2 linked regions of the Macaca mulatta genome follow. The protein of the gene in region 1 purifies or fractionates together with the protein of each later gene. This does not show direct contact. Links are inferred from orthologs where the notes say so. Each region holds a gene or a part of one and is shown in the gene's direction. Other genes may lie near its edges. The genes, in order: TDRD3 and FMR1.

Region 1 (3,828 bases):
GAATACTCAAGTAATAGTTTAAAAAAAAAAAGCTACTGGGGGGTATCATTTTGTTAGCTTCAATACTTTACATTTTTGGAGAGGTGCTGTATGAATTACATTTCTCTTCTAGTATGGAGAAGTATCAAAAAATTTCCATTTTTTACCATGGAAAAGTTTCATTAGGTAGTTTTCTCCTCACTGTCTATATTATTTTCAAAGGCCATACTCTAACATACCATAAAATTTCTTTTTTGTGCTTTTGCAGTGTTACTTGTGAGGTCAGAGAATACTCAAGGCACAACCCCACATATCATACAGATTCTTCCTTGCCTCTTGTAAAAAATCAGCAAGAGACTGTTGTATTAGAATGACATTTTTACATAAGTATGAGATGTAATTTTTAGTTAAGACTGCAAATAGTTAAAAGTTTATGCATTGCCTTATGTGTGGGCTACCAACCAGCTTTTCTCTTTATTCCTTCCAGGTTGATGAGAAAGCTCTGAAGCACATAACAGAAATGGGCTTCAGTAAGGAAGCATCCAGGCAAGCTCTTATGGATAATGGCAACAACTTAGAAGCAGCATTGAACGTGCTTCTTACAAGCAATAAACAGAAACCTGTTATGGGTCCTCCTCTGAGAGGTATAATTTATTAAACAGTGTGCCAGATAGTATTGTTTGCTTTTTAGATGAATATTTGTTATTGACAGAGGCTGTTAGCTGTGAGGGCTGTAATTTTATTTAACGTTATGGTAAGTGGAAGGAACACCAGTTTGGGAACCACAGAGACATTTGTAGTCCCAGTCTCGTTGTCTTCATCTTTGTACAAAATGGGTCTAACAACAACAACAAAACAAAAACAAAGTGGGTCTAACAATGACTTATTTAACAAGGTTGTTATGAATAACAGAGAAAATATGTGACTGGTTCTATTATTTCTAGAACTCTGCCACCTGAGAATGACTAAGCTTTTAAAAATTAACAAAAATATTACATTTACTTGGTGATATTATTATTATTATTATTTTTTAGATGGAATCTCACTCTGTCACCCAGGCTGGAGTGTAGTGGCGCGATCTTGGCTCACTGCAAGCTCTACCTCCTGGGTTCATGCCATTCTGCCTCAGCCTCCCGAGTAGCTGGGACTACAGGCGCCTGCCACCACACCTGGCTAATTTTTTTGTATTTTTAGTAGAGATGGGGTTTCACCATGTTCGCCAGGATGGTCTCCATCTCCTGACCTCGTGATCGGCCCATCTCAGCCTCCCAAAGTGCTGGGATTACAGGCATGAGCCACCGCGCCCGGCCTTGGTATTATTCTTTAATCATTGCATGGTCAAGTTTATTATGTGGTTTTTCAAGTCCCAGTCCTATATTATTTTTAAAATGTCTGTGGTTGAAGAATAAATTATAATTTTTACTTAGAAGATAGTTTATATAAACAAATTCAGACTTCTGAATAGATGATTTATTTAGAGGATTAAATGTGCTACTTAATATAATTACTTAAAAAACTTTAAAAAATTACTGAAAAGATGTAGACTATACAAAAAATATGGAAAGAAATTAAAATCCCTATTTAAAATTTTTGGTTATATGTTAGTATATATTCTTTTTGTTTTTGCATATATAGTACATATTTCTTGCTTTTACATCTAAAGGTAGAGGAAAAGGCAGGGGACGAATAAGATCTGAAGATGAAGAGGACCTGGGAAATGCAAGGCCATCAGCACCAAGCACATTATTTGATTTCTTGGAATCTAAAATGGGAACTTTGAATGTGGAAGGTAGGCTAATTTAAAGTCGATTATTTTTCTTTTTTTCTTTCTGTGTGTGTGTGTGTGTGGTTTTTTTTTTTTTTAGTGTATTCTTTATAAGAGACCAAACTTTATTTGGAACTGTATAATAAAGCAACTATAATATGAACATATATCCTGATTGTTTATTTATAAATTTACTTAATTACAAATTCCTGCTTGACAAAAGCACAGAAGAAAATGTTATATTCTGAAAACATAATGGCAGCTTATTTTGCCCCCTAACTGGGATTAGTAATCTCACCAAACTATTTTTCCCTAATTTGCTCGTATCTAGATGACAGATATAACTATGTAAACAGATTGTTGTTTTGGAAAATTTATTATATAATCTTATATAACATTTTGATTGTGAAATTGGTATATCTCTTCTTTCACCCCATATTACATAGTTTGAAAACATTCACACAGTGAGTGAAAATGCTTTCACAATGTGATTTTTTTTTATATACTTTAGTGATTGACATATTGAAAAGAGAACTAAGTATGGTAATATGCAGCCTTTTTCTAAGCACATAATATATTAAATATTTTCTAAAATGATAAGTTTTTAAAATACGATCCAAAAAGTTAAGGAAATATGCTTTTAAATTCAATTTATCATTCAGATATATTTTGAATATATCTAGCCAAATAAGCTAGATATGAATTATCTAGCCAAATAAGCTCATAGATAAAATGCTTTTGTAACCAATGTGAAATGTTCAGATTTCATAAAAATTGAAGCATGTTTGCTAGATTATATAGAAAAGGCAGTGTAGCATTTGAGAAAACAAAGTTTGACGTGGGCAAGATTTGTAAGCATGATGTATTAGTTTTCTGTTGCTGTGTAACAAATTACCACAAAGTTAGTGGCTTAAAACAATGCAACTTTATTACCTTATAGTTTCTTTGTGTCAGGAGTCTAGGCACAGCTTCACTGGGGCCTCTGTTTAAAGTCTCAGATGCTGATGTTAAGATTTTGGTTGGAGTGGTGATCTTATCAGAGACTTGAGGTCCTCTTACAGGCTCACCAGTTCTTGCAGAATTTCATTTCCTTGTGGATGCAAGACTGAGGTCCTGTTTTTGCTTGGTGTTGCCTGGAGACTGCTTTGTCTCCTAAAAGCTGCCTTCAGATTGTTGCCACATGGGCCACCCCATAGGCAATTTACATATTGTTTGCTTCTGCAAAGCCAGCAACAGAGTCTCTGCTGCTGCTTCAGATCTTTCTTTTTCCTGACTCTGACTTAATGAGTATTTTTGTCCCAACCTCTCTTCATACTGTCCCACTGAGAACTCTTGATTTCCTTTCATCCTCCTATCCCCTTACATTTGCTTTTGACTCCTGTATTAGTTTGTTTTCAAGCTGCTGATAAAGACACAACCGAGACTGGGTAATTTATACAGGAAAAAGGGTGTATTGGATTTACAATTCTACGTGGCTGGGGAAGCCTCACAATCATTGTGGAAGGCAAGGAGGAGCAAGTCACATCTTACATAGATGGCAGCAGGCAAAGAGAGAGCTTGTTCAGAGAAACTCTATAAAGCCATCAGATCTCATGAGACTTATTCACTATCACGAAAACAGCACAGGAAAGACCTACCTCCATGATTTAATTGCCTCCCACTGGGTCCCTCCCACAACTTGTTGGAATTCAAGATGAGATTTGGGTGGGGATACAACCAAAACATATCATTCCACTCCTGGCCCCTCCCAAATATCATGTCCTCACATTTCAAAACCAATCATGCCTTCACAACAGTCACCCAAAATCTTAACTCATTTCAGCATTAACTTAAAAGTCCAGTCTCATCTGAGACAAGGCAAATCTCTTCTGCCTAAGAGCCTGAAAAATCAAAAGCAAGTTAGTTACTTCCTAGATACAATGGGGGTACAGGCATTGGGTAAATACAGCCATTCCAAATGGGAGAAATTGGCTAAAACAAAGGGGCTACAGGCCCCATGCAAGTCTGAAATCCAGCTGTTAGTCAAATCTTAAAAGCTCCAAAATGATCTCCTTTGACTCCATGTCTCACATCTAGGTTACACT
Region 2 (3,828 bases), on another chromosome or scaffold:
AAAATACCATGGACAAAGAAGCAGATTTAAATCAGGTACAGATAAGAATGGAAAGTATTGAATAAGTGAATATATTTCCCATTATCTCTCCTTTTTTCTTAATTCTTTTTATAGAACTTTGCAGAAAGAATGATACATACCACAGTACCAGCAAGTTTAAAGCGTACCCTTTTGTGCAAAAATGAGAGGCTATCTTTGAACTGCCTTAAAAATTCAAAATTACCCAATCAGTTTGCAAGCATTAATCAACTCTGGTACCTGACCAAAGGAGTTTAAACAATGATGTCCTAATGAAACAGAAAACCAGATTAACCATCTTGTTGAAAAGAGTCTCTACTTTGGTTTTGAAATCTTACAATTCAATACGTACACATACACATAAAAATGTCTATCTATATGAATGTCATAGTTTACAGTAGGGCTGTGCTTACTGCTTTAAGGTATGTGTTTTTAAAACCAAACTTTATTTATTTATTTCTTAGGCAAAGTAATAGGAAAAAACGGAAAGCTGATTCAGGAGATTGTGGATAAGTCAGGAGTTGTGAGGGTGAGGATTGAGGCTGAAAATGAGAAAAATGTTCCACAAGAAGAGGTATGTTCCAGTACAAATACTTTGTGGCTTGTCTAATAGTAAAAGTTTTTTTTATGTGATATGTTGAAGACCTCTAATATGTGCATAAAGTAAATGCAAATATTCTGATTATCAAGCATGCCTGCTGTAATTAATGTCATAGTTGTAGATAATGGCCCCTCTCTGTACTCTAATGCTGTGAGTTTGGATTAGTCACTTTATTGAATTCCTTTTTCCTAATCTTTAAAATGGGTAGTTATAAATTTTTAAATATGAGACATACATCACTGGGTTGAGTGTTAATAACAATTTAGTAAAATAATATATATATATAAATGCTTTTTAAAGCACTTTGTAAATGTTAATGTTGCTGACAAAGGCAAAATTGGAACGTAGGTTTTCTGGCTTTTATCTTTTCACTTTTTTAGTTTGGGGATTGTGTAGTATATGTGTTTATTCTGTGTGCTTTAAATTTATTTCTGTGCTTAATATCTCTTCCCCATCCTCCTTACCTTTAAATTCTATAACCCTTTTATCTTCATAAATATATGCTTTTTGTAGCAGCTTTTAAAGTATTTGCATGGGGTAGAGAGGTGAGGATGCACCTTTCTGTGCAATAGTACTCTTAAGATACTGTCTCCTCAAAGAGCCATAATTTTCACATATTGTCTAGCTTTCTTTTTGAAAGATTCTTTTAGCTAAAGTCAAATCTTTTTTTCTGTATATAATTTGTATTCTGTAATTTTATAAACCAAAACTGTTTATAATTTACATCTTTAAAAAATATGATTGATAACATTAATAGAGCTAAATAAAGTTTTAAATTGGCCCTTTTTTTCTTTTTTGTGTTTTCTGTTTTTTACCAAGGAAATTATGCCACCAAATTCCCTTCCTTCCAATAATTCAAGGGTTGGACCTAATGCCCCAGAAGAAAAAAAACATTTAGATATAAAGGAAAACAGCACCCATTTTTCTCAACCTAACAGTACAAAAGTCCAGAGGGTAAGAATTACTTGTCACTTTGAATTACAATAAAAGAAATTTGTCTCAGATGTCACAATTGGTATTTTGGGTTTTTTCTCTGGTTAGACTTGTAGGCTACTGATGTTCTATTTTTTTTTTTTTCAAATGTGATTGCCAGTTTATGAGATACTACATATTAATGTGATACATACTTTTCAATTTATTCACAGTGACAAATCTTATGCTGTAAACACAGAATAATGGGGTTGCATTTAGTGGTCACATTTTTCTTTTGACAGTGGGCTTTTTTCCATGCCTTCTTTCTTTAAATTTTCCAGGTATTGTAGCTCAAAATACACCTTCTGTTAGATGCATTAGTTACTACTTAAAACCATATTTTAGAAACTAATTTTCTGAACTAATCTATTTAGAAATCGGTTTAAAAGTCCTGCAGTGAAAGTCCTGCGTTCAGGCTTCTGTGTATCATTTGTTATAGTTAATGACATCCCTTGCATTCCTTATACTGCTTTAGGTGTTAGTGGCTTCATCAGTTGTAGCAGGGGAATCCCAGAAACCTGAACTCAAGGCTTGGCAGGTAGGAGAACATTCCTTGAGAAGTACACTTTCAGTTTATATTTTAATGTTTATTCCCCTTGTTAAGAAAGATTACAAAAGATCATCAGGATTAGGGACTGGAGGGAGGAGTGTTTGTGGGTATGTGGATCCATTGCCCCGGAGTTAAAGCTTAAACACCTTCATGCCGCTTGTAAGGCTTTTCCCAGTTACTTGTCCAGTATCATGTCTAAATTATCTTCTCCCTTGCACTCTAGAGACGCTTAAGCCATACTGAAGTACTTTGAGTTCTCTGAACATTCTCATGCTTATGTTGCTTCTAGACGTATGTAGAGGTTTACTCTGCCTGGAACGCTTTTTCTCCTCCACTTGTCACTTCATTTTGACTTTATTCCTTACAAAGCTTTCCTTGTGTACTTGCCAAAGATCCCCACCGCCATGGCTGGTTCAAGAGCCTTCCCCTTCTGTTTTGCAATGTGCTCAGCCCTAGCATAGCACTTAAACATAGATGTTTATTTGTTGATCTCCTCAACCACATTGTAAGTTCCTTGAGGGCAGGGAGAGCTCGTGAGAACTGTTTATGGAAAAAATGTTGTGAACTCATGGATTAAAAGCAAAGGTGCCATTTTACAAAGAGAACTATAACGGCAAGTAGATTGGATATGTCTCATTACCGGGCAGCCCATTATCCCAGAACAAGGAGGAACTTTTTTCTGGTGTCCATATTGAAGGCCATCAGTCAATTCTTGCCTTTCTTCATTTTAATTTACTATTCAGGTCTACTCGTGAAGTGCTTAAATTAGAGTGGCCCTTGGGGTACTCCAACAGTTTAAACGTTGCAAGAAAAGATATTCGTAAATAATTTGCTCCAAAGTCAATCTAACTAAATCTATTACATAGGATTTTAAAGCTTAGTTTGGTGATGTTTGACCCAGAGGGAAGGGTGTAGCATTCATTCCATCACATGGTATTTTGGGAAATAATACAGTTAAAGGCTTTGTAACAAATAAAGCTTGTTGGAGAAACACCCAACATGCAGAAATGAATTGCCAGTTAATAATTTGCACAATTGTGTCTAGGTTTCGCTATAACTTGTGACAAGAAGTCGTTTTTTTTCCCTCATTTTATATATATATATATATATATATATGGGCTAGGAGTACAGACATTTAGCATATGCCTTTTAAAAATCTGTTCTTATATTAAGTAGTGTCCATAGAGAGAAGTTCAAACTTCCCTTGTGATTCAGCCTTTTAAAATTTTCTGAGTACATTATTGAACTGTGTATGGGCTTAATAAAACTTAACGCTTGTCAGTGTACCTATTTTTTTTGTCTCACAGATTATTCAGTGCATTTTTATCCTGATGTTTTTGTTTGTATTTTGTGTGTACTGTTTTACTTGGTTAGCAGAAATGATTTACTTTTTACTTTTGTACCCTTGGTATTTCATTTTGATTTTTTTAAAGAATTTGATCGGCCAGGTGCAGTGGCTCATGCCTGTAATCCCAACACTTTGGGAGGCCAAGGCAGGCAGATCGCCTGAGCCCAGGAGTTCGAGACCAACTTGGGCAATGTGGCGATACCCCTTCTCTACAAAAAATACAAAAATTAGCTGGGTATGGTGGCATGCACGTGTAGTCCCAGCTATTCAGGAGGCTGAGGTGGGAGGAACACCTAGGGCCCAAGGAGGTCAAGGCTACAGCAAGCCATTATCATGCCA

Evidence for each region.
Region 2: the proteins of TDRD3 (region 1) and FMR1 purify together in Homo sapiens (affinity purification with mass spectrometry; 4 studies listed by BioGRID and IntAct, with this or other methods). This does not show direct contact. The link is inferred for Macaca mulatta from reciprocal best matches to the Homo sapiens genes TDRD3 and FMR1.

The regions. Positions count from the first base shown.
Region 1 is NC_133422.1:39,997,202-40,001,029, forward strand, and holds part of TDRD3 (tudor domain-containing protein 3), read left to right. Parts: intron 1-466; coding exon 467-623; intron 624-1,642; coding exon 1,643-1,768; intron 1,769-3,828. UniProt on the Homo sapiens protein: Scaffolding protein that specifically recognizes and binds dimethylarginine-containing proteins. Plays a role in the regulation of translation of target mRNAs by binding Arg/Gly-rich motifs (GAR) in dimethylarginine-containing proteins.
Region 2 is NC_133426.1:154,197,423-154,201,250, forward strand, and holds part of FMR1 (fragile X messenger ribonucleoprotein 1), read left to right. Parts: intron 1-482; coding exon 483-592; intron 593-1,438; coding exon 1,439-1,573; intron 1,574-2,066; coding exon 2,067-2,129; intron 2,130-3,828.